Medicago truncatula: one gene and its partner. The protein of the gene in region 1 binds, or shares a complex with, the protein of each later gene. Links are inferred from orthologs where the notes say so. Each region holds a gene or a part of one and is shown in the gene's direction. Other genes may lie near its edges.

Region 1 (7,679 bases):
GGCTGGTTGCCAAAACGTTTTCCAGAATCTGTAAATTGACATTGACAATAATAGATCAACATAAACCTTGACTTGCAATAAACTGCTACCCGAACACCCATTAAAAAGACAGGCACAGAAGAATTCAATGTTTATCCAAATATTTGTAAAGGCATTTAGATCTACTGTATTTTAAAAATTAAAAAGAAAACGAGTATTTTTGTCGGTCAAACGTAAACACCTGAATCCCATTCTGATTGAGAATCACCGTCTCTATCTGAACGTCCAGAAGAGCGAGAATCCCATTTTCCATGGGTTCCCCGCGAAAAGTTATTCATATCCCCTCTGGTTGGAGGGGATGAACTGTATTCATTACGTCTGAAACTATGTGTTGACAGAGCACCGGTACTTCTCTGTCTATCCAGTGAAGCGTCTTCAAATTCACTGTTTTCCATACAAAAAAAGGCATAACACATAAGTGAAAGAGCATAAATTGACTATATATATATATATATATATATATATATATATATATATATATATATATATATATATAATAAGGAAAAATTAAATGCAGCGGTCCACCGATATAGCATACTATACCTTAAAAGTGACCGATCAAACCCACTTGGAAACTCTTTGCAAATATCCAATCCACTAAACGATAGCAAAAACTCTCTTGTGTATGAAATTTTCAACTTCCTGAACAACCACCAACAAATAGGTGTTATAACATGCATCAAATTTCAAATTAAAACATTGTAAAAAATAAATACAACAAGCTAATCAAACAAGATAGAAGGTTACTTTTGCAATCCACTATCAGTTGCTTGATCCAACAAGCTCTGATCTTCGTTTTCAAAATCCATTGCGTTCCCTCCACACAATACTTGATGCTAAACAAAGTTGTTAACCAATGTCAAATATATCAAATCGATGAACAATGCCGAGTGTTACTGCAATCCTTAAAGAGCCCTAGTCAGCATCAAACATATAATTCATAACATATGCTCAAATTTTGAAATTTTGACCAACTTCAACTCTAAGTCCAACAATCACTGCTTATTCATAATTCAATTCTAAAAGCACTTGTATGAAAATTTCAAAACCTAGAACCAATCCCAGTCACTGATCCAGCTCAATCAACAAGACCCATCATCCAAAACCCTCTAAAGCTTCAACCTTTACGAAAATCTAGCAATAACCACCACCAAAAAAATTGAAAAAACTACTCTCTCCTTCAATGAAATTCCCGAATGAAACGTAAAGATTGGTATATACACAAAACCGTCCTAGAACACAGATTCAAAGGAAATAGAGATTCAATTCAAAAACTTGTGGAATACCCATGAAATTTAGGTCCGAGAAAAATCTAAGGGATGACAAATATTGAGGGTTTGTGCGATAAAAATACAAAATTGAAAAAGGAAAGAAAACTAGGGTTTTGAAATTGTAAAGATTAACGATGCGGATCGAAGGTTAAAGAGAGAATCAATGAAGGGAAAAGCGTGAAATCGAGAATTTGGGGGTGATTTTGCAGAGATGGATCGGGATTGAGGACGAGGGAGTGAGCGAGAAGGGATTTGAAGAGAGAGAAAGTAGAGAGAGATTGTTGCTATTATGGACTTATTATTATCTAGAGCAAGTAGCAATGTAACCTATGGTTTTAAATAATTTGTAAGTTAGATTAGATTAAAAATTCGTATTTATCTAAATCTTAATTCTTAATTTTGATCTAACAGTAAGAAGATAACAATTACTACATTTTAAGTTTCTTTTTAAAAAATAAATTTTAAGTTTTTCTTATTAGGTTTTGAGTTCAAACGCAATTGATATCTTTATATATAAAATTCTTTTGAATATAAGATCGTCTTTATTTTGAATTGAAACATCTTCTATTTACATACACGTTATAATGTTCGATTATATTTTATTTCGTGTATGTATCTTTAATGATTTAATTATCATCATTTAATTCGGATAATACTTTCAACTCTTTTGATTTTTCTTATTAATATAGTGGTCATATTTGTGTAGGCGTTAGATTAATAAATTTATTTAAATATTTTTTTTAGGAGAAAAACTATTTGATATTCTCTTTATATTGGATATATAAAAATTAATCGTTATTCTCTTTTTTACTCAGAATTAATCACTTAAAGCATCTCCAATTGAGGTATTTACGTGTTTCATAGAATGATGAACATTTTTTTATTTTTTTCTCTTTCTTCATCGGAGGAATCGTGATGTAGTAGTGTGGATACCAAAGTAATGGTTGAAATAACTTAAATAAATTACTGTATCATCAAATTCAAAGTTGAGGAAAAAAAAATAAAAGAATTGAGTTTTATAAAAGTTGCTAAATTGAGGAAAATATGCTTGAGTGCATAAGCATGGTGTGACATTGCGAAAGTCACTTTTTTATAACAAAATGATATGTATTCATTCAAATTAACAAAGTACGTCAAATGCAACTACATATTTCACATCGTTAAAAACGTAAATGATAAATCTATGAACAAACTCACAACATTCAAGTTGATTACGTACAATGAAAAAATACCTACAAATAATATGATAAAATATGAAATACTCATGTCTCTATATCACTAATGTTGACATCCAAATCATATTGAATTTGTAACTGATTGATGTCGATCTTTCACTAAGAATCAATCGAACACCACAAAGACAAAAAATCAAGCAATACCGCACAAGACGACAAACAACACAACGCCGCATTGAGACAACGAAATCACGAGAAAAACACAAAAAGAAAAAATGAAATCTATGTAAAAACCACTTATTTAGATTAAGATAAGGAAGAAAAAAAGATTCATAAGGGTGATTTTTAGGCCAAAAAATAACCCAAAACCACCTCCCTCTCTTGAGTGATGGAGAAATAAAACTTACAAAGAAGTCGGAGTTTGTCTCTTAAAAAATTAGAACCGACTAGTTAAAGTTTGCTTATTTCTTCAAATTCCTTACCATTATTTTAAAAGTCATTATAAGTACTCACTATTTAGAACTATATAAAACTATTCTCTCTAAAAATAAAATAAAAACTACATGACAATTCAGATATATAATAGGACAACTAATTATATGTGAAATGAAAGATGATTATAACTCATTTTATTCATTCATGTTTTTTTTAAGGAATTATTCATATATGTTTGTCGATCATTGATAATTTTGTTACTATATTGGAATACACAATTTGGAGAGAGATAGACACATAAAATAGATAGTGGGTTCTACCACTAAGTCACTTAGTCACGATTCAGTAATTTCCTCAACTTTGAATTTTCAACCCTAAACTCATAATTTGTATTGTGTATCGGTGCCTTTGTTTTTTGCATACAACTCCATTCATTTAGTGTGCCCTTTGCACTAGTGTTTATATATAAAGAGAGAGTTATCCATGGATTCCTAAAGCTAAACATTACGACCTTTCCACAAGCTCCAAAGGGTAATTACAACATGAGCTTTCTGATGTGGAGACAACCTCTCAATTAAATCAAATAACATAAATGCAAAGTTGTTGAAATTAAGGAGTAAATCTTGGATGATGTGGTGGACATCGATAAACTCCTAACAACTGATCGCTTTTAGACAAACAAAGAAAATGTGCATTTGACTTTCTGTCAATTGATCGCATGATACACATGAGTCTTCACAAGGAATTCCACGGAAAATGAGGTTTGCTCGAGTGGGCAAGCAATGTTGTGTTGAACACCATAGAAAGGCACAGACACGCGGTGGAATTTACACTTTCCATATAGAGTTCCAACAATTTTCACCTGTAGTAGTAAAGGTAGCGGTGATAAGTTCGAAAAATATGCGATAAGCGGGTTTAACGTGTGTATGAACCATCAGTAGTAGCCTTCCATATGAGCTTGACAACATATTCACAAGTGAAGGAAGACATGGAAAGGATTGATGCAACATCTGAAGGGTTGAACATTGACTGTACCAAAGGAATGTCCGAAGAATTTCACCCGGATTCAACAAATAATTAACGGTAACATCCTCATGGTGCACTAATTGCAAGCTAATCGATTTGCGAGTAGGAAGGTTGTGAATCCAAGGCATACTCCACACATTAATTTGAGAATCATCACTAATCGTCCATCTATGGCCCAAGGTAAGTAAAGGTTTTGTACTCCATATATTGCTCCTTGTATAACTTGGATTATGACCTAGGTTGGCATCCAAAAAATCCCTTCTCGAAAAATATTTAGCTTCCAAGATCCTTGATGGTAAAGAGGTTGACTCGGATAAGAGTTTTTAACTTTGCTTACCAAAAATAGAAAAGTTAAAAGCTTATACGTTCTGGAAGCCTAGACCTCCTAAACTTTTGTGAAGAGTGAGCTTATCCCATCACAACCAATTAATGTCACACCACCCATTCTTTCTAAATCCCTAATGAAAGGAGTTCATCATCCTTTCTATCTCATCACAAAGAGATGTACTATCTTAAAATATTACCTCTGTCCTGAAATAAGTTACTTTATTGAAAATATATGCTATCATTTATCTATAAAAATACATTTTTTATAGTTTTGATTTCTAAGGTTTTTGTTGGTTCCAAATTCCAAGCAATTTTTTTTTCTTTCTTCCTTTTGAGCATTTACAGTTTTATTTTCAACCCCTTATCCATTCTTGTCCCACTCACTTTGCCAAAAAATTTACCCTCAAACACAAGGGCACTTTGTAACACAGTACTTTAACCAACCAACGCTATCCATATCCCTCTCGTAGCGAGCATTGCTCAATCCACAACAATGGCTACAACCCCTTCTCTTCTACACTCTTCTGCCTCTTCCTTTCTCTCTCAATTTCGAGCTTTACCAACTCAATTTTCTTCCTCTTCGTTGTTATGTCATGGAAACAACAGAGTGGTGTCTGTGAAAGCTGATGCTTCTGGTGCTGTTTTGGTTGAGAAATCTGAAGCAGAGACTGTTTATAGACTCAAAACAACTTACAATGACAAAATTGTTCCTTTGCTTATGGAAGAATTCTCTTACACTAATATTCATCAGGTTGGTTTTTCTGAAATTTGGACCTTTTTTTTTTTTTTTTGTAATGGGTATTTGTTTAAATTGTTTGATTTTGTGTTTTTGTTGGGTTTGTGGGTTAAAGTTTGAGTCTTTTTTGGTTTTGGTGTGATGGTTTTTTTTAGATATTTGGATTTAGAATGAAATTATAACTGCATGTATCAATTTAGTCCCTCACATTATTATGGATATTCCAAAATGATATTTGAAAATGCAAATTTTAATCAAATGTGTCCCTCCGTTGATTGGCATTAAGTGTATGTTTGGTTCTGTGTTGACAAGACTTGGTTTTGAGTGATTGATTTTGACTAAAATGGGTTGAAGGTAAAGTGATTTGTGTTTGGATAGATTCGTGTAAGTGAGTTGAACTATATAAGTCTGTGTGTAATCAATTCTAGAATTAAAAGCCACGAATCCTCTCTTTAAGTAGAATCAATTTGGCAGGCGAAAGCAAAACATGTCAGAATTGATTCTACACCTCTAGAATCAATTTTAACTGTATCAATTAAGTCCCTCATATTATAGATATTCCAAAATGAATTTTTGAAAATGCAAAGTTTAATCAATTTTTTCTCTCCGTTGGTATTTGTAGGGACTAGAATGACATTAAGTTGATAAATCGGGGATGAATTTGAAATTAAGTGAATAAGGTCAGAGATACGTTTGATAACATGTCTATAGAGAGGGATGGATTTGTTCAACATATTGCAATTCTAAAGATCATTTAAGAATATTAATAATATGAAGACTAAATTGATAGAACATTAGTAGAACCCTTTAATTTCGAGTACCAACTTGAGTATTTACTCTAAGATTATTTTATCTATCAAATTTTGCAATGCTGAATATTGTTTTTCCCTCTTTTCAGGTGCCTAAAGTTAAGAAGATTGTGGTAAACTGTGGTATTGGAGAAGCTGCACAAAATGCAAAAGGTTTGGATGCAGCAATACTTGATCTAGCACTGATCACTGGGCAGAGACCTGTTAAGACTCGGGCGAGGAATTCCGTTGCCACCTTCAAGATCAGGGAAGGTCAACCACTTGGGATTGCTGTGACACTCAGAGGAAAAGTGAGTACTTCGTATTCAATTGATATTGCCTTGCCTAGTGAATATATTTTGTAAACATGAGATCATTATTTAGTTTAATTGCTTGACATTTTCCCATTTTTGATGCTATTTTGTATTTAGAACAATGTCGGTATCATGAATAATGATATTGTTAGATTCTAGTTAATTTGCTGGTATAGTTAGATGCATTGGTGTAATGAACTCTGATAAGCGCTGAGGTGCTTCAAGGACACCACTCCGAGACATGTGGCTACTGTTTGTTAACTTGTCTAGTATAATGCATCTTTGGATCACATGTAAAGTTTTTGGAGTTGGGAATATTCTTTGTTGACATAATATATGCATTCCAGTAATCAAATATTATTTTTGTAATAGAATATGTTTACATACGAAGCATTATTTTCCACATACCAAAACAAAGCGTGTAAAATTATTCTCTTTTATCATGAGAACGGTACTTCAGAAGTCAAAAGTTTAGTTAGTTTGGATTTTTTTCTTCTGTGTATGTGTTTTTCAACAATTTGTGTTTAAAAAGAGTGCATACCAGGAATTTACTGAATGAGACATTGATAGAGTTTCCATGTTGCCAAAAAAAAAAAGATTATACATGGCAATGTATGTGAATCTGGTTTCATTTTGAACTTCTTCAAATTATAGTATTTTGCATTACTTTAGGCTCATATTCTAACACAAGATTTTAAATATCTGTTAGCGGCTGTGGTTTCTTTGTGATCTTTGAGACTGTAGAAAATTGAGGTCAAACATGGTTGTGGAGACATCACATGAAAAACCTTGATCTTGCGTCCACACCCGCGGTCACGGCCTGTATTTTAAAACCATACAAATATATTATACATGCTTTGCAACTTTCTTTGTTTTTATATAGCTGAACCCAAAATCTAATACCTATTGGTTGATATTTTGACAGATAATGTACTCATTCCTAGACCGTGTTATCAACTTAGGACTTCCTAGGACAAGAGATTTTCAAGGTGTGAATATCAGCAGCTTTGACGGGAATGGAAATTACAACATTGGTATTAAGGACCAAACTGTGTTCCCAGAGCTGAAATCTGGTATTGGTACACCTAGAGGAATGGATATCTGCATCTCAACAACTGCTAAAACTGATCAAGAAGGACAAAAATTATTGGCTCTCATGGGTATGCCCTTCAGAGAGGGAGTTGAAGTTACCCAAATAGTTCGCAAAAAGAAGTTGAAATCTCATCATTTTGATCCAAAATCAAAGGGTAGAGGAGACAGAGCAAAGAAGTAAACTCATTTTTATTCATGCAAGATCAGAGATAATAATGAACTAAGGTTGTAATCAGAAGATAGATTGTGTTGTACCCCTTGTTTCGTTCAGATGTAATGTAATATTATTGATTCTTTTTGTAAAAGATGTGGATGTTTTCATGTTGCCATCAATCACGTTATTATATGGTTGTATGATGATCATGCAGATCTTGCTTGCTTTCTGATTTCTATTGTTTTCTAAATTATTTGGCTAGTTGGACTATTAATATTTTAGGTTCATTTCTCTTCATTTTTCTTCAATTTTCATACTCGGC
Region 2 (7,744 bases), on another chromosome or scaffold:
CGTGAACGATCTTCCACATCAAGAGCTGCAAGAATGCTAAATATAATAGATGAAAAACTACCACTTGATGTCATGTGTGGTCTCTATTTTTAAGTAAACTCATATGTAGAATTCATATTATTGAATAAATTTTTGCAAAAAAGTTTAAAATATTATAAGAATCTTTATTAAAAAATATTAGAAATTTTTTAACGAAACATAAATTAAATATGAATTTTAATATTTTTGGTGGTTAAAAATTCATATTTAATTTATGTTTTGTTGAAAAATTTTAACTTATTTTGAAAGAGATTTTTATAATATTCTACACAATTTTATTAAAAAATAAAAATGGTACGACTTTAAAATAAGGACCAAAATTGATAATTGACAATTTTATACGAGTAAATGTCGAAAGAAATTTTTAGAGAAAATAAAATGAAAATTTGATATATTTATAAGGACCATAAACATATGAGTCATGTTAACCAGTGCCCCGGGACACTAGTTAGGAAAACTAAAAAAAGAAAGTTATAAAGTGAAAATAACACATTTTTATGTTTTTGAGGAATTGACAATGCAAATTTCAATGTAATACTTACTACTACCTCCGTCCCTAATTATAAGACCCTTTTGAGAATTTTTTTGGTCCCGTTTTATAAGATTCATTTGCTATTTCCAACTACATTAGTTATTTATTTACATACCTGCCCCTATTTATTATACATCTTTTTCTTCAATCAGCAAAAAATTGCATATGGAAAACATAAACTAACTCTCTTTCTTAAGGATAAAATTGTAAAAACAATAGTGTGCTCGTGATTTTCGGATATCAAACCATTAATTGATTTGAATCGTTAATCTTTGAACTCTCGATTTTTATTCGTGGGAAGGGAAAAAAATGAGTAAAAACCCTTAAGACTTTGGATTCGGGGGTTGGTTACGCGAAGGGAAGGTGCTAGCACCCTAGGCGTCTATGGTATTTCATAGGAACCTCTTACCTAAATTATCTTGTGCTAAATTGATTTGCTTATTTGAAAATTATTACCTAAAAAAATCTAAGTGAAAGAATGGAGGGAGAAGAAGTATATTTTTGGTTATTTTTATTTGATTTTGAAGGATTAACTCCTTTGCCTATATACCCTTAAAGAAAAGGGATCAAAACCAATGTAGTTCACCTAAAAAATTTCTTTTTGGTGGGTTGGATTGATTTTAACAATTTTGTAAAAAAAGATTTTAAGAAGAGATTAGAGGCCTCAAGGCATGAGAGAAAAATAAGATGAGGTTGGTCAAATTTTAATTACAAGAAAATCAAGTCTAATATGAATATTAAGTCAATTAAGCATTTGATTAAGAAAGTAAAAGGAAAAAAACACTTGGGTTACCAACCAAGGTTTATTAAGAAAATATTTCTGAAGTTTTGCATATTTGATTTTTTTAAACTAACGGTGAAAACTAACGTAACGGCGTAACGTAACAAGAAATAAATGTCAAGTGTCGGTGCATGTGTCGGTACATATTCTCATATGGATATTTACAAGGGACCTATATACATGCTAAAGCCTCAAGAGAAAATAAACGACAAAAACAAAAAAAAAAAATAAAGTGCACAAATTAAATTATATCAATTCCTAAATACATACTAAAAATTAATGACAAGAAATTAAAATATGCATGAAATGATTCTAAATAAAATGCAGATATAAAATAAAACCATAAAAAGAGTAAATAACAATTAAAAAAAATCACAATATTTTTTTTGGAAACTTTGAAGAAAATTTTTTAAACAAAAGAGGTGCAAAAAGTGAAAACAGTGGTGACAATAGGAAAACAATAGTGAATTTTAAAAACAGTGGGCTCAGACTGGACAAATCTAGACCGTCTGATTAATCAGAGGATCCAGATCCAATCACAGGAAAGACTCATCACAGTCACTGGATCAAAGATCCAAGGGTTAAAAAACAGCATAAAGTAGAGAAACAACACAAGAAGCACAGTGACTGTCAGATCAAAGATCTGACGGTTTAAACAGCAGGCACACAGTAGACCGCAGACAGACAAACACGGATGGAACACACAGTAGCCATCAGATTTTAGAACGATCCAGATCTGATGGTTCACAGCGCGAGGGATCACCATAGAACATATACGCGCGTGTAGGAAACAGAGGGAGTATATAAAGGGAGAGACAACAAGGAAACAACACAAAAACATTTATCATTCTAAACTTAGAGAGATTCTCTCTCACTTCTCTCTAAAAACTTTTTCTGGAAAACGGAAGGAGGAAGATGAATCTACATCTTCTCCGGCGAGCTTCGCCGCTCCGGCGCAGTGGTTTGCCGGCCCAACAGGGCGGCGCGCAACAACATGTTATAGATCTGTATTTGAAATCTCAAAAAAAAAAAATCATACTTTTTTCAAAAAAAAACGACGGATCTAGACATCCTTTTCTTTCTTGTTACCAATTTCAAATTTAGTTTTCGAAAATGAACAGCAAGCATGTCTAGATCTACATCTTTTATTTTTTTCAAAAAAAAAAAAAAAGAAACGAATGAAGAAAGAGAACGAAAGAGGAGAATCAGTTACCTCTTTGGATCGGTTAAGATCTGGAGATAAAAGTCTTCGGAAAACTTCAAGTGCCTTCTTCTTCTATTCCTTCACGTGAAGCTTACATTAGATCAAGATTCGTTGTGTTGTTGTAATACCAAAATTGTTGTCGTTTTGAAACGATTTGAGAATCGGTGATGTTGTTCTTGCTCGAAAAATGGTACGATCTTGGTGGTTATATGATGATTCGAGTTGGTTGTTGGGGAATCCGGTTCAAATCTATGGATTTTTGTGATTATTTGTGCTTGCTGGAAAAATCTAGGTTCATATGTTCATGATGATGTTCACGATGAACTTCATGATTTTTTGCAGTTTGATCTGGAAAAGAGAAGAAAGAGAAATTTTTGGTGTTTATAATTAATGCTGCTGAAATCTCTGACGCGTTTGACATTGTGCAGACTTTTTATTGTAAAAAACTAGGGTTTGAGACTGATACATACCAATGACGAAAATGCCCTCTACTGAAACTTGGGCAAAAAGAAACCCTCAGGACCAATAAGAACAGGACACATGGACTTAGACTTAAAGAAATAAAACTAATAAAATAAAAGCAAAATAAAATAAAAAGAAGAAGAAGAAAGTCACTCGTGACTCTTCTTTTTGGAAGGTTAACAAAATAAAAAAATAAAAAGAAATAATAATAAAATTGATAAAATAAAAAGATAAAAATAAAAATAAAAAACTGTTCCTTCGAAACTAAATATGGTACTTTAAAGTAACCTCCCTACCGAAATTTTGATCGAGACGACTAGAAAATACGGACCAACTTTTAGATGTTTATCGTACAAGCGGAAAAAGAAATTTAACTAAAACGGAAAAGGGGAAATTCATTTATATGCGAATACGCGCAAAAAGATTTTAATTACATACCGGTACGGATAAAACTTTAAATGCCTAAAAAACGAACAAAGTGGTTTTTAAACGTACAAAATGCGAACAAAACTTTTAACTACTCAAAAATACGAATAAGAGATTTTCACTACTTAAATCGTGACTAAAAAGGTTTTGACCACTGAAAATTACAAATTAATAACGATGAGCATATTTAACTGATTGAAAAAACGAATGAAAAATATTTTAACCAACCAAAATACGAATAACAACGTTAACTACTTAAAATATGAATAGAAATATTTTGATGAGCTAAGAATATGAATAGAAAGTTTACCTGACTAAAATACGAATGAAAACAAATTGACTATTTTAAAAAGCGGAAAAAATTAATTGGTAAAACTTTAGGGTATGACAAATAGTAATTACAAACAACATTAATACAAATACACACTTTCTTAATTCCCGTAGTTTTAGCAAAAGAGTCTTATTATATATAGGGACAAACGTAGTACATTTGATATCTTAACCAGTGCGCCCCGGGACACCGGTTAACATTTTTCCAAACATATTTAATCCAAATATATACTCCCTCCGTCCCGCATTAGATGACTCATTTGCAGATGTGTAATTTTGACCTAACTTATTTTGACCATATTTTTCTATTAATATACAAAGATAAATAATATCATATAAGATGTCGTTAGATTTGCCTCGATGAGTATTTTCAAAATATCAAATTTTTATAATTTTTTCTAATATATTATTCAAGATATTTAAACTCAAAATTATGCATTGATATGCGTAATAAGGTCAACTGTGTCAAGTATTAAGGGATACAAGGAGTATTTTGTATTATACTCTTCTTGTCTCATGTTAAGTGACACAGTTGACCTTGTCACACATACCAATACATAATTTTAATTTTAAATAACTTCACTAATCTTTTAGAAAAAATTATAAAAATTTGATATTTTAAAAATATTCATTAAGACGAATTCAATGATATCATATATATATATATATATATATATATATATATATATATATATATATATATATATATTCGGGGAGTGGTTATGGTGCATAAGGAAATCCTTATGCACCGTGCATAAATCCCAACATAATTGTTTCCTACACCCCCAAAGTGAGCCAAAACCATTTTTGTTCAAAATAAAAGAAATCTGATAGTTGTGATGTGTTTATGCACGGTGCATAAGGAAATAACTTATGCACCATAACTTTTGCCATATATTCGTACAAAAATACGGAGTTCAATAATACCCATCTTCAAATGGGTGTCATCGTAGGACGGAAGGAGTAATAAAAATGAATAAAATAATAATAAAATTGGGTTTGTAAGAGTAAATAAATGGATAGGATGAAGGAAGAACATAAAAGGATAGAGTTGAGAGAGAGAGAGAGGAAGTTCTCTCTTCTTCAAAATGGCTTCTGCAACTGCTTCTACACTTTCAACTCTCTGTTCTTCTTTCACAACCCATTGCTCAATAAAACCTCATTTCTCTATTTCTCATCAACCTTTCTCTTCTCGTTTTCCTTCTCACAACCTCTCTTTCCAATCCACTTTCTCACAACGCTTGCCTCTGTTACCCGCTCCCAAATCCACTGAATCTTCTGTCGCGCCTGTTGATTCTGATTCTCAAGTATCGGAGTCTGAATCCTCTCAAATTGTTCAGTCTCCTTCATGGGAGAAGGGTCTTTTTGCTGTTGTAATGGTGAGTTTTTAGAGGATTTTTTTTAATGTTGAGTGTGGATTGGGTGACCCTTTTGTTTCAATTGTTCAAAAGTTGCATGCTTTATGTATAATTTTTAATCTAGATTGCTCTATGGGTGAAGGCGACGCAATTGAGTTTGCATATTTTTGGCTCTATGACCATGGTTTTATCTATTTTATATGTTTAGTCATTCATCTGAAATTATTTGTGATTGAAGTATCGCACATTAAAGATTAGGAATGGTTAGTAAAGGACCCCTGGAGTTTGGCCGAATAGTAAGTCAAGTCTGGCCAATGATTGTTCCAACCTATATTTTTGAACTTGGGTTCTCCCGAATGATTCGTCCTTAATTGAATTTATTAATCATCTAAGCTCAATAAATTAGTTAATAAAAAAGTTAGTTTGGATGTTTAAACTGTTTTTTGTATTGTTGGACTACTTCCAGTTTGTTGGGTTGGTAAATAGGTATTTGCTGTTTATTGTTTTGGGGTCTCTGTCTCAAATTTTATGTTCTGTTCTTTTGCTTTTTAATATTTTCTTGTGTTGTTTTGTTTAGATTGGTGGGCGCCAATATATTGTTCATCCTGGCCGCTGGCTTGTTGTTCAGAGGCTCAAAGGTGCCAACGTTAACGACAAGGTATACAACTTGTTTGTTCTTAAATTCTGCCATTTGACATGTTCCACTTATTCATTTTTGGTCTTTTAGTTATGCAGTATTCGTTAAACTCATTATTTTGTTCTATATGTGATTGTTAACATCACCAACCTTTGTTAACATCACCAACCTATTATCACCATTTGCTTTGCACCCTAAACATTGCCTCTAAAATTGCTACCATTTATTAAGTAATGTTAGCTTGCTCATACAATATATTTAAAACTATGGTCGGCCTAGGTATGATGCGAGTGCTTCCTGCTCCCTTTCTGGTTTCGTGAAATTGACTATCATTAATGACCTGAACTATGGGTAGGACCTATAAATATAATATAAAAGGGTTCAATGCAAAAGTAAGTTATAAGAAACTAGGCCTAAAGAGGTATTTTAACCATATGATGTGAGAAATGAATGATTGAAATTATAACCATTGGTTTTCAAACCAATGATTATAATTTGTCACTTTTCCCTTTGAAGCGATTTCTTCCTTTTCCATTATCTGAACATCTGCTGTTATTTTCAAAGCGTTTTTTTATGCACTGTACATTAATTTTAACTCTTGGAATTGTAGATCGCCCTGCATAAGGTTTTACTGGTTGGAACAGATACATCCTGCTACATTGGCAAACCAGTGGTAACAAATGCTGTGGTATATGCGACAGTGGAAGAGCAGGTACTCTTCATTCTCTCTGCTTTTGTTCTCCTGTTAGGAAAAGCTAAAAGTAAAATACATCTCCTACCTTAACCATTTTGTTTTAATGCAGGGTTTAGACAACAAAGTAATTGTATTCAAATACAAAAGAAAGAAGAAGTATCGTAGAACTATTGGACACAGACAGGTATATTAGCTATCCTTTTACTTTGCAATCCAATTATTTATCAAAACTTTGCGCGATTGAAATGTCTATATGTGGCTTGGGAATTAATTCTTATGAGCGAATTATCTTACCCTTAAACTTTCTGAATGGAGCTTAGAAATATGGGAATCCATGTTGTATATATGATGAATGTATGCCTGTAGGCACATGAGGCTTCCATGTCATTTTTTATGAATATTTAGTTTACCAGAATTTGATGCTTGATTTGGTTTTCAACTTGTGACAGCCAAATACACGCATCCGGATAAATAGCATTATGGGCTATGAGGACTACCCAAAAGTTACCATGGACGATATAAATTTGGAATCATCATGAACATTTTGTGCGCTATGCGAGTATTGTATCTTCTTTCATCTATAATAACTATTAGCAATCAATTTGCCATGGTTAGTTTTGCTTTTATCATGGATGGAGTTGTTTGAATGTTTATGTAGCTATTGTATGTCATTGTAATCTTTTGTTTCCAAATACATTGCTATTTTCCAGTCTCCAATTATCACTCCAATTCCTACTATGAAGAGCCTGTTTACTTTGAATGTTACTTTTTCAGTTCTCTTTACCTTGCATAGAAAGATTTGTTGGAACAAATTTAATTTGAAAATGTTAATCATTTTTTATTGGTCCCTTTCATCTAATCGGAGGAGCAAGCATATCATATATTTTGAAGTATTTTGTTTTTTAAGTACACAAGCAAATTATAGTCACTCCTTGGACCGGATACCCGAGTTTCCAAAAAAAGAAGAGTACAAGCAATTACGTTTTCATCTTTAATTCTAAAATACGTTGAGATATTGAATTTACTTAAATCTAAGGTTAAGTATATTTTTATCTACTAAATGTTCACTGTCGTGAACATTTTTATTTAACATCTGATGTAGGAGAAATTCTTGTATAGTCACAAACCCAAATTGAAGTTATTTAGGCACACACTCATAAAATACATATCATTTAATTATTTTAAAAATACATATTATTTAATTATTTTCTCTTTCATACTTTTTAAATTCATGTGAGTGTGTCTAGATGAGTTTTATTTATGTTTGTGTCTAAGCAACAA

Evidence for each region.
Region 2: 50S ribosomal protein L5, chloroplastic (region 1) and 50S ribosomal protein L21, chloroplastic share a complex: the UniProt entries of both Arabidopsis thaliana proteins name them as parts of the 50S ribosomal subunit. The link is inferred for Medicago truncatula from reciprocal best matches to the Arabidopsis thaliana genes AT4G01310 and RPL21C.

The regions. Positions count from the first base shown.
Region 1 is NC_053048.1:36,603,909-36,611,587, reverse strand, and holds 50S ribosomal protein L5, chloroplastic, read left to right. Parts: upstream 1-4,656; 5' UTR 4,657-4,766; coding exon 4,767-5,024; intron 5,025-5,907; coding exon 5,908-6,108; intron 6,109-7,036; coding exon 7,037-7,384; 3' UTR 7,385-7,618; downstream 7,619-7,679. Other genes in the region: uncharacterized protein, read right to left, coding at 1-28, 221-423, 583-681, 787-848. UniProt on the Arabidopsis thaliana protein: Binds 5S rRNA, forms part of the central protuberance of the 50S subunit.
Region 2 is NC_053042.1:47,104,912-47,112,655, reverse strand, and holds 50S ribosomal protein L21, chloroplastic, read left to right. Parts: upstream 1-4,798; 5' UTR 4,799-4,862; coding exon 4,863-5,153; intron 5,154-5,709; coding exon 5,710-5,790; intron 5,791-6,379; coding exon 6,380-6,481; intron 6,482-6,572; coding exon 6,573-6,647; intron 6,648-6,912; coding exon 6,913-7,002; 3' UTR 7,003-7,223; downstream 7,224-7,744. UniProt on the Arabidopsis thaliana protein: This protein binds to 23S ribosomal RNA in the presence of protein L20.